Linked DNA regions of Styela clava. The protein of the gene in region 2 purifies or fractionates together with the protein of the main gene of each other region. This does not show direct contact. Links are inferred from orthologs where the notes say so. Each region holds a gene or a part of one and is shown on either strand. Other genes may lie near its edges. The genes, in order: protein Abitram-like and tRNA pseudouridine synthase Pus10-like.

The links.
Region 1: the proteins of tRNA pseudouridine synthase Pus10-like (region 2) and protein Abitram-like purify together in Homo sapiens (affinity purification with mass spectrometry; 3 studies listed by BioGRID and IntAct, counting the BioPlex papers as one, with this or other methods). This does not show direct contact. The link is inferred for Styela clava from reciprocal best matches to the Homo sapiens genes PUS10 and ABITRAM.

The regions. Positions count from the first base shown.
Region 1 is NC_135252.1:13,789,764-13,802,062, forward strand, and holds protein Abitram-like, read right to left. Parts: upstream 2,458-12,299; 5' UTR 2,310-2,457; coding exon 1,476-2,309; 3' UTR 634-1,475; downstream 1-633. Other genes in the region: protein FAM136A-like, read right to left, coding at 195-608; serine/threonine-protein kinase Chk2-like, read right to left, coding at 5,043-5,402, 5,626-5,711, 5,911-6,032, 6,553-6,725, 6,985-7,174, 7,722-7,837, 8,171-8,285, 8,713-8,803 and 3 more. UniProt on the Homo sapiens protein: Actin-binding protein that regulates actin polymerization, filopodia dynamics and increases the branching of proximal dendrites of developing neurons.
Region 2 is NC_135263.1:15,851,722-15,863,436, reverse strand, and holds tRNA pseudouridine synthase Pus10-like, read left to right. Parts: upstream 1-7,576; 5' UTR 7,577-7,581; coding exon 7,582-9,132; 3' UTR 9,133-9,364; downstream 9,365-11,715. Other genes in the region: HAUS augmin-like complex subunit 1, read left to right, coding at 5,839-6,555; meckelin-like, read right to left, coding at 11,206-11,286, 11,384-11,526. UniProt on the Homo sapiens protein: Protein with different functions depending on its subcellular location: involved in miRNA processing in the nucleus and acts as a tRNA pseudouridylate synthase in the cytoplasm.

The DNA.
Region 1 (12,299 bases), on a different chromosome or scaffold from region 2:
CAAATTTTTCCTAATTAAAATTCAGAAAACTTCTCAAAATATTCAAAAATAGTGAAAAAATTTGATTTATGCCAATATTTATTAAATTTAAGGAAGTATTCAGTTTAATTGTGCCGCTGAATGGTAGGTTGAGCTTTGAAATACTCCAATTGACTTACAAAACTGTCATACAATTCATTCTATTTATCAAAAAACTATTTAGGTAAAACATCAATAAGTCTCTTTTTAATTCCAGGCAAAAGTTTTAAATGTTCTTCTGCACATTTATATAAACAAGATTCAAATTTTTCTTTGGCAGCCGTTTCTCCTAACGCAGATACCTGGTCTTGCGCAACATCTTGGCAAGCCATCATACAGCGCTGTATCCTGTTCTGAAATCTTTCAAGTTCTTGCTTAACATTGTTTTGCATTTCTGCTAGTGGTCGTTGACAGGTTTCAATGCACCTTTGTACCTCTTCTGCACTTGCAGATGTGTTGTCACAACAATTTGCTCCGCAAAGATACGCCTTTTTCTGATATTTTCTGACGTAGTCCCTCTCTATGTCACGCTGCATTTGACTTGCTCCTTTGTCAATTTCTGATAATTTATTTTGTACCTTTTGATCCATGTTGGTGTTATAATAAATAAATTCACTAGAAGAAGCACAAAATGAATGTGAATGAAAATTGAGTTATGACATGTGATCAGGGATAGCGAGGATTGAATACACAATTCTGAATATATTCAAAAATTGTATTTTGAAATATATTATAAAATGGTTTAGGTTCATCAAAGGTTGTGAAATCAATGTACCTATATCAGTGAGTGTGAAAGCAGAAAATGCAGAATATTTTGAAATCGGGAATTTTAATATAAAAATATTTGGTTGATTTTTTCCAATGGATTCAAACATTTAATTCCTCTTGTACATTCATGCATATGATACCCGCCCAGAAATGAGAATATGGTATTTTTGCAAAACCCCAAAGAAAATCACATAATCGAAGCCGTGGACAACACCTTTCCCATAAAAAAATAAAATGGAGGGAGAATGTACTCATATTACAGTATATAATTAACAAGATAATGAAAAGATACATTCACAAAAATGTGATAATAAAAACACAATGAAGGACTTTTTTCCTCTTTCTATACCTAAATTTTACTGGATAAGCAAGTTTGTTTCCATTTTCCTAGCCAAGTGAGATGAAACACGCAAAAGAAAATAATTGCTAAAAAAATGAAAATATATAAAAATGGAAGAAGTTGAAATTAAGAAATATAAACAAAATCAAATAACACAATAATTCAGAGATAATCGTAAATCTAATTTTAAAGTAATTATGTTACCTTATCAAAAAGATGTTGAAAGTTCATACTCACTACATAAGTGAAAATTACTCAAATCGATGTTTCAAACTATGCATAATTTTGATTTGATTCAAAACCCCTTCGACTTACTCTTAAACAGGGACATTCTGAAGAGAGAATTTTTTCATAATTCATTTTTAATTTTTTTCAAATATTCTTCATATTGGGATTCACTCAAAAGATTATTAGTCAAACGTTCTCTCTCTTGTAACTTTATCATGACGACAGCAATATAGCCATTCGTTTCAGGTTTTTCTTTCAAAAGTTCAGGATATTTCAGCAAGTTTTCATTAACTTCGATTAAATTACCACGAATCCCACTGTGCACTGTATATTTTTCTCCATCACTTAAAGTTACAATACAGAGAGGACTTTCTGGATTTAACCATTGTGCTCCTCGTTTACGTTTTCCAGAAACTTTATTATTTGATCGATCACATTTCAATGTGACCTTGAAACTAACTTCTGATATAGTTTTGTCGGGTGAAAATGCAGGATGACTAGGAGCGAGCGTTACGAGGCATATTTTATTCGAATGCCATAGTATTCTCACATCATTTCGGGTAGTTTTAAAGTCTTCGTAGTTTAAAGTCCCACTCGGTAAATTAACTTTGTAAAGTCGTGTAAAATATCGATCAACAACAGATGGGAATGGTGATTCCTCCAGATCAGAATCATTTTGAACTTTATTAACAGCAATCACAGTATCTTCTCTTTTATCTTCTTTATCATTAGCAAAAGATATCAGAGAATCATTTTTATCTGGAGAAAGATTATTCTTATCAGTTTTTATTTCAAGCTCGGTATCGACCACACCCATATTTTGCCCATCATGGGTTTCTTTACTAACCTTCCCCTGAGAAGGAGATGCGCATTCACTCATTTTATTTTTGTTCTCAAGAATCTGAACATTTCTTTCTACTTTGCTGGCATTTTCTGATACTTCTGTAGTATCCATGACAAATTTATTCAAAGTTTTCAATGTACAGATGTAAAATACCGTGAGCTCCAATTAAATTTGACGTAAAAAACGGTCTGTCAGCTCGTTCAGTCGTTAGATATCCCGATATCGTGCAACTTCTATCACTTTTCCTCTTTGAGATCTTTGTATCCAAGACTTTCCAGTGGCTCTTTTTTCATTAAATTTTTCTCCATACGACAATTGAGATAATCTTTAGCTTCTATTCGACAGGCGCTATTGTCTTGTTTATTCCGTTTTAAACAGTTTAGAAACTGGTCTTTAAAAATCACACATTCGCCGAAATGATCAAGTGGAAACGCGCCTTTCATAGGCGGCACGGGCTTGAAAGTTTGTTGGAAAGGGCCCGCTGACATGACAACTTCCGATACGGAATCGCGGAAATTATTCTCCAGTAAGCTAAAGAACAACAGCGACTAAGGAATGTGATCTAGAAAAAATGGACAAAAACTCCAATTGAAAAGAGTGTACGATCTTGGCGACGACCGCGCACATGTTCTACTCATTCATGCGCGACGGTCAAAATAACTTTTATAGATTACAGTGGGGAGGAGGATTGAAGCAGATGAAGTATGATATGATTCTGAATTTAGTTTTTTTTTCATTTTTTTGGAAGATGGAAAAGACGATAAGGCACTTAAATTGAATGACCATTCACAGCTTCTCCTCCGGTTGCCAGTCCAGATCGAATATAGAAATAGCCAATTTCCAGCTTGTTTAATTCGTTCACCTATTACTGTATTACTTCAGACCATAGACTCTACGTTACGCGAACCAGCCTATGACTGCGAAAAGTCACCCAATCTTGTTGCACATCTTACTAATTTTTCACCGGATTCGTATTCATTGGGCAATCAACTTTGTGATGAAAGGCATATTCCCGAAGCTCGAAATGACGCGTCAACATTGCCGATAGCACCATTAAACTGCAGTCATAACGCAGCATTGTTGTAAGGTAATACCACTTATAAAATAACAATATTACCTAGTTTTACCGAATAATCAATATCATCAGAAGGGTCCACGACAAAGAAGATATGGGAACCGCTGTTTTAGACGTTAATCACGGGTCTCTCACGTTTTTTTATTGGTGTTCACGTCAGACAGGCTAACGGTTTGTCAACATTCCTCGTACATACCTACCGGTCGGGGACCAGAAAATCCACGGGCGGTATTTGCAATAAATACTAGCTTCCAACAATTATCACGGTCCGCTAGCTGCTGCATGATCATACTTTCACCTGCACTAAAAATAATTTGCAAGAATTTCTCAATTCACAAGGTAAGATCTATACCCGTCATATTTTACTCTGTACCGTCTCGTGTGCAGTAACAAGACAGAATCCACATATATACCTATTCAACAGACTCTTACATATTTCGAAACTTATACTGCTCCATAGCATACAAAGAACATTTTTATTTTTTATTAAAATGACCAACGTACAAAAAATAATTACATATTGGCACACCCGAAATGATTTCATTGAGAAATAAAAAGACAATGTACTTGAATGAACAGCATCATGATATTATGGTAAAGCAATAGACATGAGAAATGGAAAAGATATGTGATCAGGTAAAAATGTTTTTGGCAAACTTTTCAGATGTAAAATCGCTTTGCTGAGAGAAATTTACTGGTATACAGATCACAATAATTTTTTACAATTGTCAGATCATCCTTTGGCTTCATTTCGATATTACCTGAAGGTAGAAACAGCCTTCCATAATAATGACCTTTACCGTTAGTGATATCAAAAAAGGAATATTGTTACTTATAACGATTCTCTTCCCATAATTTGAATTCAAAATATTTCAAACTGTTTCTTCATGTTAATCACAGACGACCAAATTCACAGTTCCAAATGATTTAAATATAAAAATACCAAGTTTGAATTGAAAAGTAAATTCTTCCAACATCATCTCACCACTACTCTGAAAAGCACCAATGAATTAGCACTGATGAAAAAGTGACAAAATGGCAGTGTACAAGAAGAGTGAAACGTGTTAGTGGAACATTATTATTATTCAAAAAAGTTTGATTCTGTTACTAAAAGTTTAAAACGAAAGAAAATTATAAAAAAAAGATGGAAAAAAAGAAAAATACAAGAGTGTATCATCCGCTTGTGTCATTAGCAGACAATGACTTTGTCGGCAATTGGCATGCAATAAATTGGTGAAATTTCGCATTCTTACATAACCATACTGTTACAACTACATCCCACAGCATTTCATCTGAGCCCTGAAATCTTACTTGTTTTCACATTTCACAGGGTCAGAGGCTTCAAATACCCTACCAGTTGAAGATTCTCAAATACACAAATTAAGGTTATTTATTGCCAATCTAGCCATAATAAAAACACTGTTAGCTTAAACCTGCTTTTTTGTGCATGCGGATACAAATTCAAGTTCACAAAGTCAAAGCTCAGGATCTCCAACCAGTAAAAGATTTCTAAAAATATAGAATAAGGTAGGTTAATGCTAAATTAGCCAAAATAAAAAAGCTCATCGCTTGCGATCAAAAAATGGAATGCAAACACAAAATGAAAAGTCAAATTGCTTGGGTTTGGGTTCAGATGAAAACATTTCTCCAATTACACAGAACTGCAGTTACCCTGACATAGTATTTTGCTCAGGATTAGAACCAACAGTAATCAGTCACCTTCATGTGAACAAGATAAATTCAATCCTTATGTACTACTGTAGCAATAATCATTTTTTATCAAAGTGAGGTGGGTTGTGCAACTTTGGTGTATCAGGTTCAGCAGCTGAGGTCCCTGCAAAATGCTTTTCCTTCAAATGTAAAGCATCTCCGTCACCATTACTTGAGTTGCTTTCCCCAGAAGTATCAGACGGAAGATGTCGCTTCCCCGTTCTTCTTTCTTCCGATATGCAAGCAGATTTCGTGCTGCTGGAACTAACTTCTTTTTCCTGTACAGCAATGCTGATTCCGTCAGTACCAATCAGCTCATTGTCTTTCTGGATTTTATTTATTAAACTATGATTTGCTGAAGGACTGTTGATAATTGTACTAGACATCAAAGCATGTGCTTTTTTCCGCATAACATCATCCTTGATAGAAAAAAATTTTATTCACAGAAAAATTTGATGAATTAAATATCACGCTCTTGATTAACACACATTTTGTGAATAGCATATTACGACATATCAATTTAATATGTAGACTTTCATCTTAATCATTCTATAGTTTGGGTTCTCAAGGCTCGAGTAAAATACATCATATCTAATAAGGCTGAGAATGGTTAATTGGTTAACAGATTAAAAGATAACCCACCTTCAACCATACATGATCCAGACCTTGTTTTGGCGTCAATCTCTTTTTTGCATCAATTGTTAGGAGACCTTTTATCATAGAAATTGCTGCAAAATAAACTAACATTCAAAAAAGAATAAGAAGCAAAATCTATAAATTTTAAAAAATTGCTGATAATAAAAATTAACGAAACATTTCTAAAAAGAGAGAGCAATGTCACCAAAGTACCATTCTTTGTGAGTGTCTAGCAAATGAAATAACCTTATAAAGTAAGGTGTTTGAGATATAAGTAGTTAGTAATTTTACCATTATCTGATACGCTTTTCCATCTATCATTATCAAAATTATAATATGCAGTTGTTATCTGCTGCAGAAGACCTTGCTTTGTATCTTGGCGATCTCTTGAAAATGGAGGATAAGCAACCAAACTGAAAGAGAAAATAATGATCTCTACTTACAAAATAGATAAATGAAGCTCGCAGGTAAATTACAGTATTATGGATGAGAAACAAAGTGGGTCAGTCTTCGAATCTACCCTTACTGACTGTCAGGTCTTTGATCAGGATTCGGGACTCCGTCACTTTTCGCACCACCACGCTTTTTCTGTCGTATCATTCACTGATCGACAATTACCAAAATTGGGTGATAAGCAAGTACTTGTGGTTGTTTGTACAATATTTCAAAGAGGTCAAGAACAAGAAGTAAAGAGTGCATGAAATTCATAGAAGAGGTAACATTTTTAACTACCAATGTAAAGACCTTTAAAACTACAGAAATTACAAAAATATACATGACCAAGAGCCCAATCAATTAAAAATGCCAAACATATCGAAATTTCTGATGAACGAAATATTAAGCTATATTTACAAGCTAAGATATATACCTATATATTGGTTTTCAATTTAGCCAGTTTGGCTCTTCAAGTTGAATAAATATAAAAATCCATACCAGACATATAGTATTACACCAAGACTCCAACTATCGACTTGTCTAGTATATCCTTCATTAGTAGAACTTCTGAATGATTTAACTAATTCTGGAGCAAGATAGGAAGGAGTACCAGCCTGTGTTTTCATCATGGAAGCTTCACCCACGAGCCTTGAAACACCAAAATCTGTAATCTGAATGTATGGAATAAAATAAATGGAACAGAGTTTGCAACGAAATATTGGCTTATCAATTATTTCAACTAAAAAAAATGAGACTATGCTGTGGATCTTGAGTTCAAAACCCATCCCCTACCAATAAATTGGGTATGCAATGCAAACAAGAGGAAGGTACTCACAAAAATAGTTCCTCATAACACATCTGTGGTTGCTCAAGTGTAAACACCTCATACGAAAACATCAAAAGAAACAAAAATCCAATCCTGATTCTCACCTTTATTAGACATTCTTCATCATCAGACATCATTAATATATTCTCAGGTTTCAAATCTCTATGTGTTACATTGTTATCATGTAAATAAGATACAGCGGATAACATTTGAAAAAATAATAATTTTGCAACTGGTTCATCAAAACCTTTCCCTCTTTCAATAATTCTAGTAAAGAGCTCTCCTCCACAGGCTCTGAAATATTAATCAAAACAGATATGGTTCATATTATACATTACGACTTCAACCAAATAGCAGACTATCCAATGATTTTAAAATACAGCGAAGCACAATGATAGGTCCATGTTAGCTTGTTGTGCTCACACAAAAACAGATAATGATGGAATCACAATTAAATTTCTCCCAGCGAATTATGTAATTTATACTGTTCTGGTTATGTATTTTAGTTCTGTTACCGTAAATATAAACTTGAAAACAAAACATTTTACACCCCAAATAAGGTAGTTTCACTAAACTATTTGATAAAAAATAGCTAAAGATGTTTGCAGCCATGGAGTGCCAAAATTTAACAACTATTCTGAAGACATTCCAAAATAACATTTCCAAATATAGAATATATTTTGATTGGGTCACAGAATCGGCAAAAATCATTGTAAAATTGAATATGGTAATGCAGAATAATGAAAGTTTCCAAGCATTGTTTCGAAAAATAATTTGGCATAGGCATGCAGCTAATCTTTATTACATATTTGCACTGCAAAAAACTTCATTCTAGACTTACAGTTCAAGTACGATGTATAGATTTTGAGGAGAATCGATGACGTCATCCACTCTTATAATACACGGATGGCGTAAAGCAAGAAGTAGTCTGGCTTCTTTCAGTACATCTTCATTGATCTAATAAAAAAGAGAAGAATTTTTTCACACGACACTTATTCATGCCTTCTGTCTCGAACAAGGCCATATACAAGCACAACTGATATCTGATGACATGCGAGCTACTATTTTTACACGAACTATAATCATTCAAGTTCGGCATTGCCTACCCAGTTAATTACACCAGCCCAAGTGATGGCGATGGGATTTGAACCTGAGATGCGTGAATTTTGTACCAGGGAAATTATTAATCCTGCCTCCTTGAAGGATGAGGAATCACATTTTAAAGTTTGAAGTGCTATATTATGTCATCCAGGCCATTCATTCACTGAATTGTGAAGAATATTTACGTACTTTGCCTGGATCTCTTCCATGAAATACAGTTTTTTGTTTGTTTATTATTTTTACTGCATGTCTTCCATAACCACCAAATTTTTGCATAGCTTCTCTTACTTCACCAAAGGCACCACTGAAAACAAGAAGAAATAAGATTTTTATTACGCAATGACATTTCAGGATATGGTGTTTCACAAGAAAGCTAACAAGGTCAAAGGTTAATCAAATGGCAAACCATGTTCTCTCACCCAGGTATCAGTCCATATTGGGTATGGGAATAGTTCACCAGTTATTCAGTTCAGATGTATCGATTTGGTGATGGAGGAAGCCAAATCCAAACAAAGCTTATGTTTGCCATTTAAAGACAAGATTATGGCTACAATTTGAGTACAATTTTCAGAGGTGTAGATTTGCAGTTAAAAGCAAAAATTTGGATTTTTTAAATATATATATAACTGTGTCTACCGTAATTAACAATAGGTGGACAAAATAGCAACCGATAAATATATTGACAACTATACCTGAAAGCTTAGAGAAAAGTTGATGAAAAATGTTCATACTTGCCAATAACTTTCTGCATGATATATTTCTCTTTAAATTTTTGAGGAAGATTGGGATCTTCTTCTTTGCTTTTATCAAAGAATAACAAAACTGAAAAAATAAACATTTATTACATACCGGTAAACATGGCGTCAAAATTGACAATGTAGGTCTCAATAAAGAGCTTATATGCTTTATCCAATTCGCCCTTAGCAATTCCTATGTCACTTACACCTATCTGTCACTACTCACTACTATTTCAACTTATAGTTGAAGGATCTGAAACTTGCTTTGAGCAAACTGGATATATTTTATAACAAACAGGACAGAATTTTCAATAAATTGAATATTATATATGTTTTGAATCACATACTACTGTTTGTCAATGGCATCTATTGGTAAAATTCAGTGTTTCTAAAACAAAATTTTCTTTTCAGTTTTGTCCTGATTTGTATTACAGGAAGTACATTGTTTTGGGTTTGAAAAGTTAGTGACTTCTGACTTAGAACATTGACCACGATCCCCAAGATAATTGCTCAATTATCAGATTTAAAGAAATAACTTTGTATTATTGAATCAACACGTCACAACAAAAAAAGCGTTACATAATTTAAAGAATTTTTAGATCATAGATATTATTATTTATCGGAATCATTAATTATGATATTATTCTATTAGTTTTAAAAAAAACTGCTATATAAATTATACTTTTGAGTTATAAGCTAACTTGAAACTTATTTTCTCTATTATAAACTATTTATAACATTCTAATATAGAACAATGATGAAGATAACCACTTAGGAGACACAGCCTTGCATGAATCGTACTTGATAATATTTTACAACTGACCTCTATTTTTATCAGAACTAATTGATATTTCATCTTTATCACAGAGTGGTCTGGAACCTCTCTTGGGAATTTTTTCTCCGTTGATAAAAACTCCGTTCATGCTGGAGTCATCCAACATAACAGTGTACGTGCCTGTGTTACTTTTTGTCTGAAAAAAGTTGTTTAACAAAATAAAGCTTGAAACTATTTTTCTGTTCTTCTATAAAAGATCAAGTAGGAATCGTATAAAATCTAATATTAATATTATGCTTCATTCAGATGTACAAAATTTCCATTCATTCATTTTTGTGCTATTTAAATAATTACCGGTAGGTGGGACTGATATTCAAATTTATACTGTGAGAAAGGGAAGGGATAAGAGGGCAGTTTAATCTTATGATGAACCACACCCTTTCGCCTGGTTAAAATGTCAGGTAGAATAAATTTTTAATACATACCCAGTTTCATACTAATTCAAAAAATAACTCATTAATAATAAATTAAATACTAAACAGCATAGTCAACTTTACCAAAAAAAACAAAAACTTTGACACTTTTAAAATAGGCCTACTATTTAAACAAGTAGGCGGCAAAAATAAACTCGAACTTCTGACTAAAATAAAAAGTACTTACAAAAACCTACCCTTGTGATTGTGAAATGTTTTTTGCTATATGTGGTAAAATGTTGTGTCTGTTTTATTGAAGGAATATCAAACGTATAAGTACAATCCTGTCCTCGACCAAATGTATATATATCTTCCCGTAGGTCTGAAAATAAAATGGGGAAAGAAACATTATGAATAGGCCATAAGAAAAGTATTACAAACTCTTACAAGGTCTCTGCTATAGGAAAACAAGAGCGCTAAATTTTCCTCTGACCAGACTGTTTTTGACCTAGTCGTCTATACACTGATAACAGACTAACTGCCAATACCCCTTTAGTATCACTGATGTTTTATTATTAGAAAATTGGCCATGATGAATCAGTAATTACGAACGTATATTAGACCTAATCATGTTGGTATGGCAGATTGAAAATTTAGGGTTCAAACACCATGGCCATCAATATCATCACACCCAGGCATTAATAAATTAGGCTGACAGTACCAAAACAAAAAAATTCCGGACTTTTCAAAGATTATAGATACGTCTTTATTGACAGCATTAAGTTGCCATTGAAAGGTCAATATATATTATAGTTGATTTTTGTTGTCAATACATAAATATGTCCAAGATTAGTACGAAGAAGAAGTAAAATAGTTTACTAACCAAAAGGATAAAAGCATCTATCAATTGGATATAAAACACCCCATGAAGGTTCATCTGCATCTGCACCTTCATCTGACACAGAGGCTGGTTCCTGTGTTGGCACTGTTTCAGCACTGAACAAGGAAATAAATTAGGGTTAATAATATTTAAAAGGAATAAGAGACCAAGAAAATTCAACAAATCTCAATGGATAAAACAGACCTGTTTTGATTATGAAATTAAAAAAAAATTTACCGTAGGCTTCTACATATCAATAAAAATTAAACCAAAGAGAGATATACCAGACTTGATTAGTATACTAAATATCAACAATTAACGTTAGCACAGTCTGGAATGGCAAAAACCAAATATTATAGTATTCCGAAAAATTTCCTGAATAATAATTTCAAATATGGAATAAATAGCCTATAGAATAATTCAAATAGGGTCATGTAGAACAGATAATATGTAGAAGTTTATGTTTATTCAAAGAATTTCAAATTGATAATGCAGGAGAGTCATAACAAAAAAATGATTAGATTTGTTCTTTATTTTCGAAATCAATTAAAGCTGTTTTTTGATTTTTCAATTTCCTAAATTTTCCATTTGTTTTGAATATCCCTAGACATAGACATCATGATAACTAAGAATTTGGTCAAAGGAGCCATAAATACAATATATGAACTCTTTCTTATATCAGTGAATATCTTATATTATGTGAAAACTCTCAATCAATATACTCCATTTTTAAATTTGTATGTTGTCAGACTAGGACAGGCAATACAGAAAAGAGTCCATCCACTCTCATTAACAATGCGTAAGAAACAGAAATGGCTTAAAATTTAAAACAAATTTTAAGACACATCTTTATATTTTCATCCGCATTACTATACCACTTTTGTAACGCACTACCAGGAACAATGAAGGCTGGTTGAGCTGACTTAAAAGTGGATTAGGAGTACACATCCCCGCATTCCAAGCATATCTATACTTATGAGTTATATATACTGATTAAGGTTTTCAAAAATATTCTTATGGCCTATTTATAACAATTTGAACATATTGTAAATTTTTTCATATTTTGACATGGAATTAACAAAGTAAAAAATCCAAGCTTTGAGTTGTTCAGATATATGAACACACAGATAGACTGGATAGTGTTGGAAGCAGTAGCTAAGAAACACCAGATTTTCAAAGACTTGGCACATGAATACTTGAAATATATAAAGAAAAATGAAAAATGTTAGACTTTTCTAGGGCCCTAAGGGTTGAGCTTGTCCTATTTCAATAGCATGATAAAAATAATAATGAAAGATAAATATAACATGTAGGGTATATTCATTCGAGATGTCGAGTGGGAAAATTTATAATCAACTATAGTGCCATTTAAAAAAAGAATTTAACGTGGGGTCTAAGTTGACAAAAATCCCAACCTTCAATCCCGGACGTTTATGAGATTATGATCCAGCTCAAAAAACCCAAAACCTTTGGTTAAAAGACTGTTAATAAGAACGCTTAGTAAACCTAATGC
Region 2 (11,715 bases):
AAAAAAACTGAAAACGCGTCTTGCTCACTGGAGCGTGAAAGCGTGGTCAGTCATGCATAAAATTTGCAATTTATGATGGGGGACTTATTATCTGCATGTGATGTAAATTTCAAGTCTCTAAGTAGTGTCGTTCTCGAGAAGAAGATGAAAATGTAAAATCCTATATTGCTCACTGGAGCGTATCGCCGAGGTCACTCATGCGTATCCTTGACATATCGTATCCGGAACATGTCCATTAATCATTGTTATGAATTTCAACCCAATAGCATGTATCAATTTTGAGCAATCGCAAAAAAACTGAAAACGCGTTTTGCTCACTGGAGCGTGAAAGCGTGGTCAGTCATGCATAAAATTTGCAAATTATGATGGGGGACTCATTGTCTGCATGCTATGTAAATTTCAAGTCTCTAAGTAGTGTCGTTCTCGAGAAGAAGATGAAAATGTAAAATCCTATATTGCTCACTGGAGCGTATCGCCGAGGTCACTCATGCGTATCCTTGACATATTGTTTCCGGAACATGTCCATTAATCATTGTTATGAATTTCAACCCAATACCATGTATCAATTTTGAGAAATTGCAAAAAAACTGAAAACGCGTTTTGCTCACTGGAGCGTGAAAGCGTGGTCAGTCATGCATAAAATTTGCATTTTATTGCTAGCTGAGAACTTCTGCACATTTGAGGTGAATTTCAAGTTTGTAGGACCAATTTGAAAAAAAAATAATAAAAATAAATAATAACTAGAGCTGCGTGCAGCTTTAACAGGCTTCCCGCGTAAAAAAAACTGAAGACGCGTTTCGTTCACTGGAGCGTGAAAGCGTGGTTAGTCATGCATAAAATTTGCAGTTTACGATGGGGGACTTATTATCTGCATGTGATGTAAATTTCAAGTCTCTAAGTATTGTCGTTCTCGAGAAGAAGATGAAAATGTGAAATCCTATATTGCTCACTGGAGCGTATCGCCGAGGTCTCTCATGCGTATCCTTGACATATTGTATCCGGAACATGTCCATTAATCATTGTTATGAATTTCAACCCAATACCATGTATCAATTTTGAGAAATCGCAAAAAAACTGAAGACGCGTTTTGCTCACTGGAGCGTGAAAGCGTGGTCAGTCATGCATAAAATTTGCAAGTTATGATGGGAGACTCATTATCTGCATGTGATGTAAATTTCAAGTCTTTAAGTATTGTCGTTCTCGAGAAGAAGATGAAAATGTAAAATCCTATATTGCTCACTGGAGCGTATCGCCGAGGTCACTCATGCGTATCCTTGACATATTGTATCCGGAACATGTCCATTAATCATTGTTATGAATTTCAACCCAATACCATGTATCAATTTTGAGAAATTGCAAAAAAACTGAAAACGCGTTTTGCTCACTGGAGCGTGAAAGCGTGGTCAGTCATGCATGAAATTTGCATTTTATTGCTAGCTGAGAACTTCTGCACATTTGAGGTGAATTTAAAGTTTGTAGGACCAATTTGAAAAAAAAAAATAATAATAATAATAATAATAATAATAATAATAATAATAATAATAAATAATAATAATAAAACACAGGAATACAATAGGTTCCCTGCTGACAAGCAGCGGGAAGCCTAATTAACGTCGTCATTGTGTAACAATACATGTATATGCCGAGGGAAATTTTTGATTTAAGGAGAATAAACACCGGCGTAAAGATGTTCAAAACACGCCATGCTGACGAAAAAAATCGGCGATTGTAACAAAATAAAATCGCGCACGTTATTAGCGGCCTGTTAAGTCTTCCAGAAATGTCAAAAGAGAAAAGATTCGACCCCTAATTTATTAATATGTTCGTCAAGTGTCAAATTTACAGCTTTAGTATGAAATTCAGATTCATTTATGGCTTGTGTTAATCCTATTAAAAAAGGTTCAGCATTTTGAATAAGTAAAGTACTTTTAACTTGCCCAGGAATATTAATCTGAAAGTAACAATTTTAACATTTATTTTGGGGCTCCGCAAATAATATTCAACTTTTCAAGGGCTCCGCAACACCAAATGTTTGAGAACCCCTGCTCTATGGGATTATTGGGATACGTTTTTTGTGTGCTGATTTGTCCTCTAAGACATATTGAAAACCCATACTACTTAGTTCTGATCTTCGTGTCCAAATGTTTAAACATCGCGCTCGTGTTTGATTTCATTTGGTATTGTTTAAGTGGGTATATTCTCTCGGTGAGCTATGTCGAGGAATCGAGAATCGGGATCGAAAATTTTAAGAATCGAATACTTGTAAGTAGTCATACTCACGACACAACTTTAACTGATGGGTCAAATTTTATTGCTGAAATGTAATCAGGGTGTGTACAGAATTGAATTATGATAGTAAATTCTGTCATAGGCCTAGGCTTTGTAACAAAAACAAAATGTTTTGTGGGACAACAATTTCAAAAAGCACTCCTGTTCGCGGCTATGGAGCCTTCTTCAAAAAAGTTTTTATTACACTCATTTCATTAATTCTCCATTGTATAGCTGCGAATGACGGCGTTTTGACTTGTCAGCGCGTTATACCAAGATAAGCCACCAGCCTAGGTGGGTTTGTTTATTTTCCGCAATGAAGGCAAATAAGATTGTAATATTTGAAAAATATATCCAGTTTATGATTTTAAAATGTTTTATAACTGTTTTCCTTTTTTGTACAAAAACCACTAAAAAAATCCTGCATCAAAACCTGAACGTAATTTCAGTTCATTGCTCTTACGGGCTCTCAAAATCTAGCAAAAAAAGTTTTTTTTCGAAATGGGGTAGTTAAAGCAAATAAATTATCTCAAATATATTCCAAAACAGAATCTACCGTGTTTCCCGAAAATAAGACCTACCCTGAAAATAAGACCTAGCCTGAATTTTAAAAATGATTTTAATATAAGCCCTCCCCTTAAAAAGAGACCTAGTCAATAAAGTGAATTTATTTTTAGACCTAGTCGATAGCAAGAAATCTCTACTACGCGTTGTAAATAATTGATAATCTATGTTTTAAAGTTATTTTGAATAAAAACTCTTATTTATAAGTAACTGGATATAGGTTTCCATATTTTGTATATTTGAAAATCTCGTAATTCTCCACTTTGTAATTTTGTTTTTGATTAATGAATCCCCAGAAATCAAGCCCTAGTGTTATTATGCGGAAGGAAATTGAAATAAAACCCAGTCTTATTTTCGGGGAAACACGGTATGCTATTTTATATAAAAAAGCATGATAATACTGATTTTGGAGTAAGCTTTGGCAGTAATAGAATTGAATAGAATAAAATCATTAAATATTTGAAGGTTACAATTGATGACGAACTGAGATCAAAACTCGTATATGTAATATTTTACAGATTAAGGCAGATTGGTGGTATATATATATGTTGTTAAGCAACTTTTATTTCAGTTTTTCTAATTGAATGTATAAGGCGCGGCGGTGTGGCTCAACGGGATAAGCGTTAGGAATACGCTCGCCACCGCACCTCTAATTACTCTGCGTGGGTTCGTAGGTTCGAATCCCATGCAGGGATGGTTATGTGCGAGAGGATCGCTGGACTCGACTCCTCGCCGTCTTATCGACTTTCCTCTCCCCCGGGATAAATATGTAAATCCTATCTTAATGCTGAAGTACTGGCAATGCCGAGGTACTGGCATATATTCAGGTCAAGGCCCAGCAACAAAGTCTTTCTTTCAGGCAGTTTGAATTTTGGAAAATTGCGAACACCGACGAGCAGTCAAATACATTTTCTCGAAATCCCACCTTTTACTTCACAATCACATGGCCCGCCAGACTAGGTGGGCAAACTTTTCGGCCCTTGGTTTAAAAACCTTGCCCACCCCTGGACCATAGATGTTACATGAAAACAAATTGTTATGCATTGTCTCTGCCTGAACTCATCGAACAATGTCAGTTGTAGCAAGTACATAAGGATAGTTACTGTGTATTTTAATATTTTCACCACTTATTGTTAGTAGTGCATGTTATTTGCCTGAAACAAGGTCGTTGTCCCAATTCATTTCCTATATGATATATTTTTCTCACTCAGTGTAGCTCGTCTTTGCCGTTCTTTGTTAGTTAGAAATTTGGTTTCATCACATATACTTGCTTTAAGGTTTCAAGTGTAATTCGTTATTTGGATCAATTCGATTGTGCAACTTTACAATTTAACAATTGGCATTCAATACATTGTGTGCTTTTTGACCTCTGGAGGAGTCAAGATCGGAGTTACACTCTGTTAACGCGTGTTCAATAACACAAGTACATAAGGATAGTTACTGTGTATTTTAATATTTTCACCACTTATTGTCAGTAGTGCATGTTATTTGCCTGAAACAAGGTCGTTGTCCCAATTCATTTCCTTTATGATATATTTTTCTCACTCAGTGTAGCTTGTCTTTGCCGTTCTTTGTTAGTTAGAAATTTGGTTTCATCACATATACTTGCTTTAAGGTTTCAAGTGTAATTCGTTATTTGGATCAATTCGATTGTGCAACTTTACAATATAATAATTGGCATTCAATACATTGTGTGCTTTTTGACCTCTGAAGGAATCAAGATCGGAGTTACACTCTGTTAACGTGTGTTCAATAACACGGGAGTGTGGACACGCAGATAGGGTCGAATCTTCGTTACCCTATACAGTGTCTCACTCGATCGTGTCACTTGTCGTCAGTCACCTGGCACACTTTTCAATTTTTTTTCAATGAATAAAAACATCACATTATATAACCACAATAGCATAAATATAATTGCATTTTAAAAAAACGAGCACATAATAGTTTTCCACTTCTTCTTATGGATTGACAGTTTACCATTTTTAGTTGCAATAGTCTTTTCACAGTTTATATTATTTTTTATCCTATATAAAAATTGGCAAAATTGAGGCTTTCCATTACGCAGTTTACATTTGTATATAAAATATCTGACACATAATAAAACACAGTTTATACCCTGGTTTTGCCCTACCCCCAATAACATTTCTCTATGTAACAAATTAAGGTTTAATCCATTCTCAACGGTTAACCAAGCGTTAACTATTTCCCAGAATTGCTGCACAAATTCACAGAGATAAAATAAATGTAACACAGTTTCAACATGAAAATTACAAAATGTACAATTTGGACTTTGTGTTTTATTTATTCTATATAGCAGGTCATTAGTGGGCACTGCTCGCAAAACAAATTTAACATGGAATGAACGAAGTCTGGATTCAATAACGCAATAAAAGACTTTTTCATACAATGTCACCCAATTATCTAAGTTCCTGCACAATTCTTTTGACCATTTTTTCTATTTTTTCAGTTGGCGGCAAAAAATTTTCATTACAAAGTTTATCATAAATATATCGAGAGGTTTTATCATTGCTTTTTACATCTTCGATCAGACTAAGAATAAGATGTGGATTGACTTGTGATGTTTTTGAAAAATTAGTTTTCCATTCCTGGGGTATACATGATATCCATTTATTACTGAATTTCGTATGATATCTCAAATTTCACTGTTGTATTTGCATTCATAGGAACTCGTTATCTACCCTGTCCGATGACGCTGTTTAATGTCATTTCTCTGTCACACGTGGCGGCCTACGTCAAGGCTGTCCTGAATAAACTTCGCTCTGAACGGCAATTTTATTGGGGAACACGGTAATATGACATCTTTGCCACTACTGATATTTCACTAGCATTTTGTTAGATATGAATTTTGCCTTCCTTCCTACAGTCTTGGTAGGAGGTCAGCAAGGATCCGCGTGAGCTGCGTCGAGCGTCGGTTTGCCAGAATTTACCGTATTCAGCTTAGGTTTTATATGTTGAGCGATTGTAAGACTGGGAAACTGTCATGTTATGGAGGAGTCGTCTTCCAATTATGGGTTAATAATTGATCAAATGAAGATGGAGATCGAGGAATATAAAGTTGATTCTAGTCGTTTTCGTTCTATTCTTTCGTCCGTTCATTTGCCATCAGAGTTATCAAACATAGGAAAACTCTTGGCAAAGTCATTACAAACAACTTCTGATGCATTGGATGTTATAACACCCTGTGCATTGAATTTAACTTTGGCTTTAAGCGATCTAAGCCAGGAGTTGCAGGAATCTGAGATAACGCTTGATTCAAGTCAAAAAAGAATACAAAATTATAAAAGTAAATTTTCTGATATACTTAATACAAAGGAGTTTTGGCGACGTGAGCTGTCACGACTTGAATCGTTAGAAGAGCAGCAACAGCAAGAGAGCAGCAACACAAAGAAATCAACTTCATTTCATTCAAAAAAGATCAAACAATATGACGCCGAATTACGGTCAAATAAACAATTACTTTCATCAGCTGGTTATGAAGACAATATATCGCATGAAACATTAGTATCTTTAGGAAATGAAGTTTCCGAAATGGAAATGAAATTGAAGCCGTTAAGACTTCAGTTAAATTCATATAAAGATCTGCAACCAAGTCTTGCTCAAGCTCAAATAAAACTTGAAGAAAAGAAAATTGAGTTTAAACAAGTTGATAAAGAATTTTCTGATAAACTTGGTGAAATTGGTGCAAATGCACCTAGTCTATGATTCCTATATTTTACATGTGGTATTGTTTGCTACCAGGTAGCGCCACATGTCTGCATATATTTTGAGGTAAACTCAAATGCCCATACTTATTCCCTGGTTTAAAAATGAGAAATGCATAAATAATTTTCATGTGAAATTGCATAAATGTAAATGCTGATCAGTTCATAAAATAGTATGAACGTTAATGTCTGAATGTGCACTTTTGAAGATGTAACAAATTGGTATCAGACCAAAGCCATTCACTTTTGTCATATACTTGTGATTTTAGGTGTTACATTGGAGTTGACATTTCAGCTCAGGGTCAGAGTTGTGAATTAGCATAAAACATTCAACATTAAAGTTTCTGTGATAAACATGACAGCTATTTCTGATTCATAGTCTTAAAATAGAAAAATATAGTTGGAGATACCTTTGGGAAGCTTATAGAATAGAGTTGGTACTTCAGCCTGTGATCCCTATGTACACCTTCAAGTTTCTTGAATAGTTTAGATATGAAAAGATGGACTGTTATTTCAAAAATTTGCTCAGCATCACTATTATATAGAAAATGTTTTGTTATAGATGCATTGTTAATAATTGATTTTTGGACTGCCCTGTTAAATTTTTTATGGAAGTGTTGCTGTTTTCACTTGAATAGAAATCAATGTCAATCGGGCATTGGCAGGATGTAAATACATGTTTTCTTCAATTTTGTGTATTGGTGGATTCTCCCAGAAATAAAAAGACTCTGTGCAAACCATGTTTCAATCATATATTTACCTTCCTACTTAGTAAATATTTTGCATCAAATCTTTGAGAATGTTGGATAGAATCAACATATGAACTTTGCATATTCACCACATGGACTTGGAGCTTGTTGAATGCTCATATTAAGCTATTCTAAAATGTATTAACATATTTGCAATCAACATTTCTATAAATCGACCATACTGCGTTTTTTATAAGAGTATACGTTTTTTTAGCATATCACTGCCATTTCCTAATTTATTGTTTTTTTTAATAGATAATCATTTGTCACATGGCATCATGATGGGTAAAAATCTATGCCCCCGATGCATTTTTATGTTTCTTAATGTTAAAGATGATGAAATATTGAGGAAATCAGAGGAAGAAATTGAGGAAAACCTCATGTCAAGATGGCCCAGTATATTCTCCAAAGAACAAATACTAGATTCCAGTGAATGTGGCGAAATAAAACATTTTTGTCATTCATGTCTTGGCATGCTGCAAGATCAGTTTCTTCATTCTTCAGTTGAAAATATAGCACAAAAGATACAAACTGAACAATATATGTTTAGAAATTTCAGATTGATGATATCGCAACCAGTCCAATTTATTCTTTTTCGAGCTTTCGTTCAACATCATTATAAGAGTGTTATTTCGGATCACAAGCGAAATGGAAATGGATTAGATGTTAAAGACATTTTCAAAATTGTTCTTGAACCGAAATTGGAAAAAGCTCTTTGTTCAAAAGCAGTATACAATGATGATGCTGAACTTGAAGTTACTGTGGTAATAAAACATAGTTTTACAGAATCTCACTTGCTCCCGAAAATTGAAAAATGTTTACCTGAATGCTTCAAGCAATCTAAAAAAGTATTGGAAGGGATGACTAGGAAGAGACCAAGAAATGATCTGACAATATTTACGTTATCTGCGGTATGTCAAGCTTCATCAAAATTGAGTCCCAAGGTTTTAGACGACTTGATTGAACAAAGTTATTTTCAAAATTCTGTGTTTTTGGACCAAATTAAAATCTTGCGGACGCCCATTTATGTGGCCGGAAGGTATTGCAAATATTCACGTGAACTTTCGCAAACACCATGGATAATATCTGGTAAAAGAATATCCGAAATGTCAGTTCAAGAATATATTGCAGATCCGATTAAACTATTATTCAAAGCAGATTCTTATAATTTTTCATCTTCTGGACGAGAAGATATTGATGTTCGAATGTTGGGTAATGGAAGACCGTTTTTGCTTGAATTAGTGAATCCACGATTATGTATTGAAGAAAAAAACAGAGTTAAAAAATTGCAAACTGAGATTAATGAGGTCACTGATATAATAAAAGTAAGAGATCTTCAAATTGTAAGTAAAAATGAAACGAAAAACTTGAAAGATGGAGAAGAGGGAAAAACCAAATCATACTCTGCTGTGTGCTACACTAAGATTAGTCATTCACGCCCAAAAGTTAACAAGCTAACGTTGAAAAGTAACATACTCAAATTGTCTGAATTGAAAAATATTAAAATTGAGCAAAAGACTCCACTGAGAGTATTGCATAGAAGAAATCTTGCTGTTCGTTCTCGAACTATTTTTGAACTTGATGTTGAGATGATTGATGTAACCGATGCCGCAAAAATTGTTAAAATGCCAAAGTTCATTCCAAAAGAGTATATATTTTTCAAACTATGTATGACAACACAAGCTGGAACCTATGTGAAGGAATTTGTGCATGGAGATTTTGGCCGAACAATACCACATGTTGGAATTTTGATTGGTGCTGACACTGACATTCTTTCACTAGATGTGGTTTCCGTAAACCTGGAATGGCCGCTATCATTGCCGAATTGATGAATCAAGATTGAATTGTATGGTTGTTTTGAAGAAAATTTGATTTTCCAATTTTTTGCAATTGCATTATTTAACAACCAACAGGTGTGTTGGCCTGTTTAAGCACTGTGGAATAGTTATAATCATTCATATGTTTGTGTGAATCATGTATTGCATTGTCTTCAATACAAGTACCTCGGCATTGCCATATACATTCAATTAGGAAAATTAAAATAAAATTTGGGAAACAATATTGTGAAGCTTATTTCTATATATTTATGTCACCATCTGTGAGTAGGAGAACAAAAAATATCCTGTGGACTGTTAGAAAAGCTGGTAAAGTTACCTGCTTTTGAAGTAGAATACTAAACTACATTTTTAGTGATTATAATTTTTTATCGGCTTCCAGGTATATGGCGTGTCATTTTCAAGTTGTCTTGTAAATCCTTTCCTAATCGAGAAGGGTCCATTGGGCCCGCAGTCGCCAAATAGTTTTTTCAATGGCATACGATGTTATTTCCGTTCTATTCATTTCAATATTTCGTCGGCTAGCCGTTAGGTTCCTCTTTATTTGATCTCGCCTGTCTGTGGTGCAGAAAAGTAGAACCACTGCTGTATTTTATATCATCGGCCAATGGACTTCTTCGTGTGCCTCAAAAAGCACTCGCAAATCTGAATTCCGACGTATTCTAAATATCGCTGGAACGTATCAAAGGTTGGCAGGCGCAACTGTGACGGGGTCGCAAAATTGTTACTGTTAGGTTTTCTGCAAGGAGTTGATATCGTTTTTATCCCGGGATAGAGGAAGCCGATAAGATGTGATCTTTGAGTTGGAAAAGGGGGTTTGTTACTGATAAACTATGCAGAGATGCAAAAATAGACTTGGATAAAAAAAAATCTTGCCTTAAGCTTTTGCTCGCCTGATTCTATAATCAGCTTTTTTTTAATTTATTTCTATCAATTATTTTATCGCCCGTCATGCTGATTATGGAGTCGAAATGTACACTTTTCGTTATTCTAGACTTAGAGTTTCATCGCACCATCTATTGTCCTGCGTTTAACATTATAAATGTTTGTCGCTATATGCGGCGGTGTGGCTCATCGTGCTAAGCTTTAGGAATACGCTCGCCACCGCACCTATGATTACTCAGCGTGGGTCCGCAGGTTCGAATCCCATGCGGGGATAGTTATGTGCGAGAAGATTCCTCCACCATTCCTGCACCAGTGTTAATGTACGGGTGCATTTCACGTGTGTATATGTACGTGGGTGTAAAGATAATGGGACAATTACCACTTTAAACACATTGCATTAAGTTTTTTAAATTATATACAAGCACGGCGAAATTCGAGTGCCGCCGTAAGGTGGTTATGTTTTAAATACCTTGCCTGACCCAACCCAAATGAACGAACTAGTGAGACAACAATTACTCACACAAACAAGAAGATTTTTTGAAAAAAATAGACTTTATACCACAAAAGTTTCTAAATAGCCTCACTACAATAAAATAACAGATAATACTCTTATTAATAGGTATGTTGTTCATCAACTACATAAAATACAAAATTCACAACATGTTCCCCAATAACAAAATCAAATTTTTGGATTTTGCACTCCGCTGGCCAAACACAACATCTACCTTAATATAAAATCAAAGTTCCGAACAAAATCATTAACTCATTTTTGCTGATAAGCAGAAGCAATATAAGCAATACTTTTTTATTATTTTTAATAGCCAAGACATGTGTTGTGGAGAAAACATGTTTACCAAGCATGTGACCTAATTTACATGGATAGTCCAAAATAAGAAGTTAGAGTTGATTGACTTCTAATGCATCTTCTGCTATTATACTATTGCTCCTCATGCTCAAATTTTAAATGTTTTTGGCAGTAAGGCCAATAAGATTAGTAAATGTTGAGTGAACTATAACCTGCTTCATTGTGTTGTAAGTAATACTAATCATTACTAAATATTGGAAAACAACAATCAATACCCATGCTGCATTTTGCCCTTTCCAATCTGTTTTTGGCCTCTAATAATCTAGATTCAATGAATTAATCAAAAAATATAAATTCGATTTGACTCAGATTTGATTTTAAATCAGAAGCCTCTTGTCAATCAAGGTTTTTCTTGCTAAGTTGTATCTGCCAAGTATTCCACGAAGAGATTTGAACACCTAAAGATGAATATAGTGATATATTGTAAAATTTAATCTGCATTCAAGAGAATCTGAGTAATTTTGATTATAAACAATAAAGCTCAAGTAAACTCACCCCACCAACAATGTATGTGATGACAGCAGCAAGAACAAAGTTTTTAGATCCATAATCAACCAGAGAAAATAGGAGAATATCAAACACAAGTAAAGCAAACTCATGTCCATAAAACAGGATATCAGCAAATGAGTAAGCATCATCTGGTAAAAAAACACAGAGTAAGAAGGTTATGTACCTGTATCATATGTTCGATTTTAAATACAAACTCATAAATTTCTTCACAATTGTTGGAACATAATGGGATTTGGAATCTACCAATCAAAATACCAGCACAATACCACTGGATTGATAAACAGGGGCCAATAGTGATAAAAGCCTCCAGGAGGGGG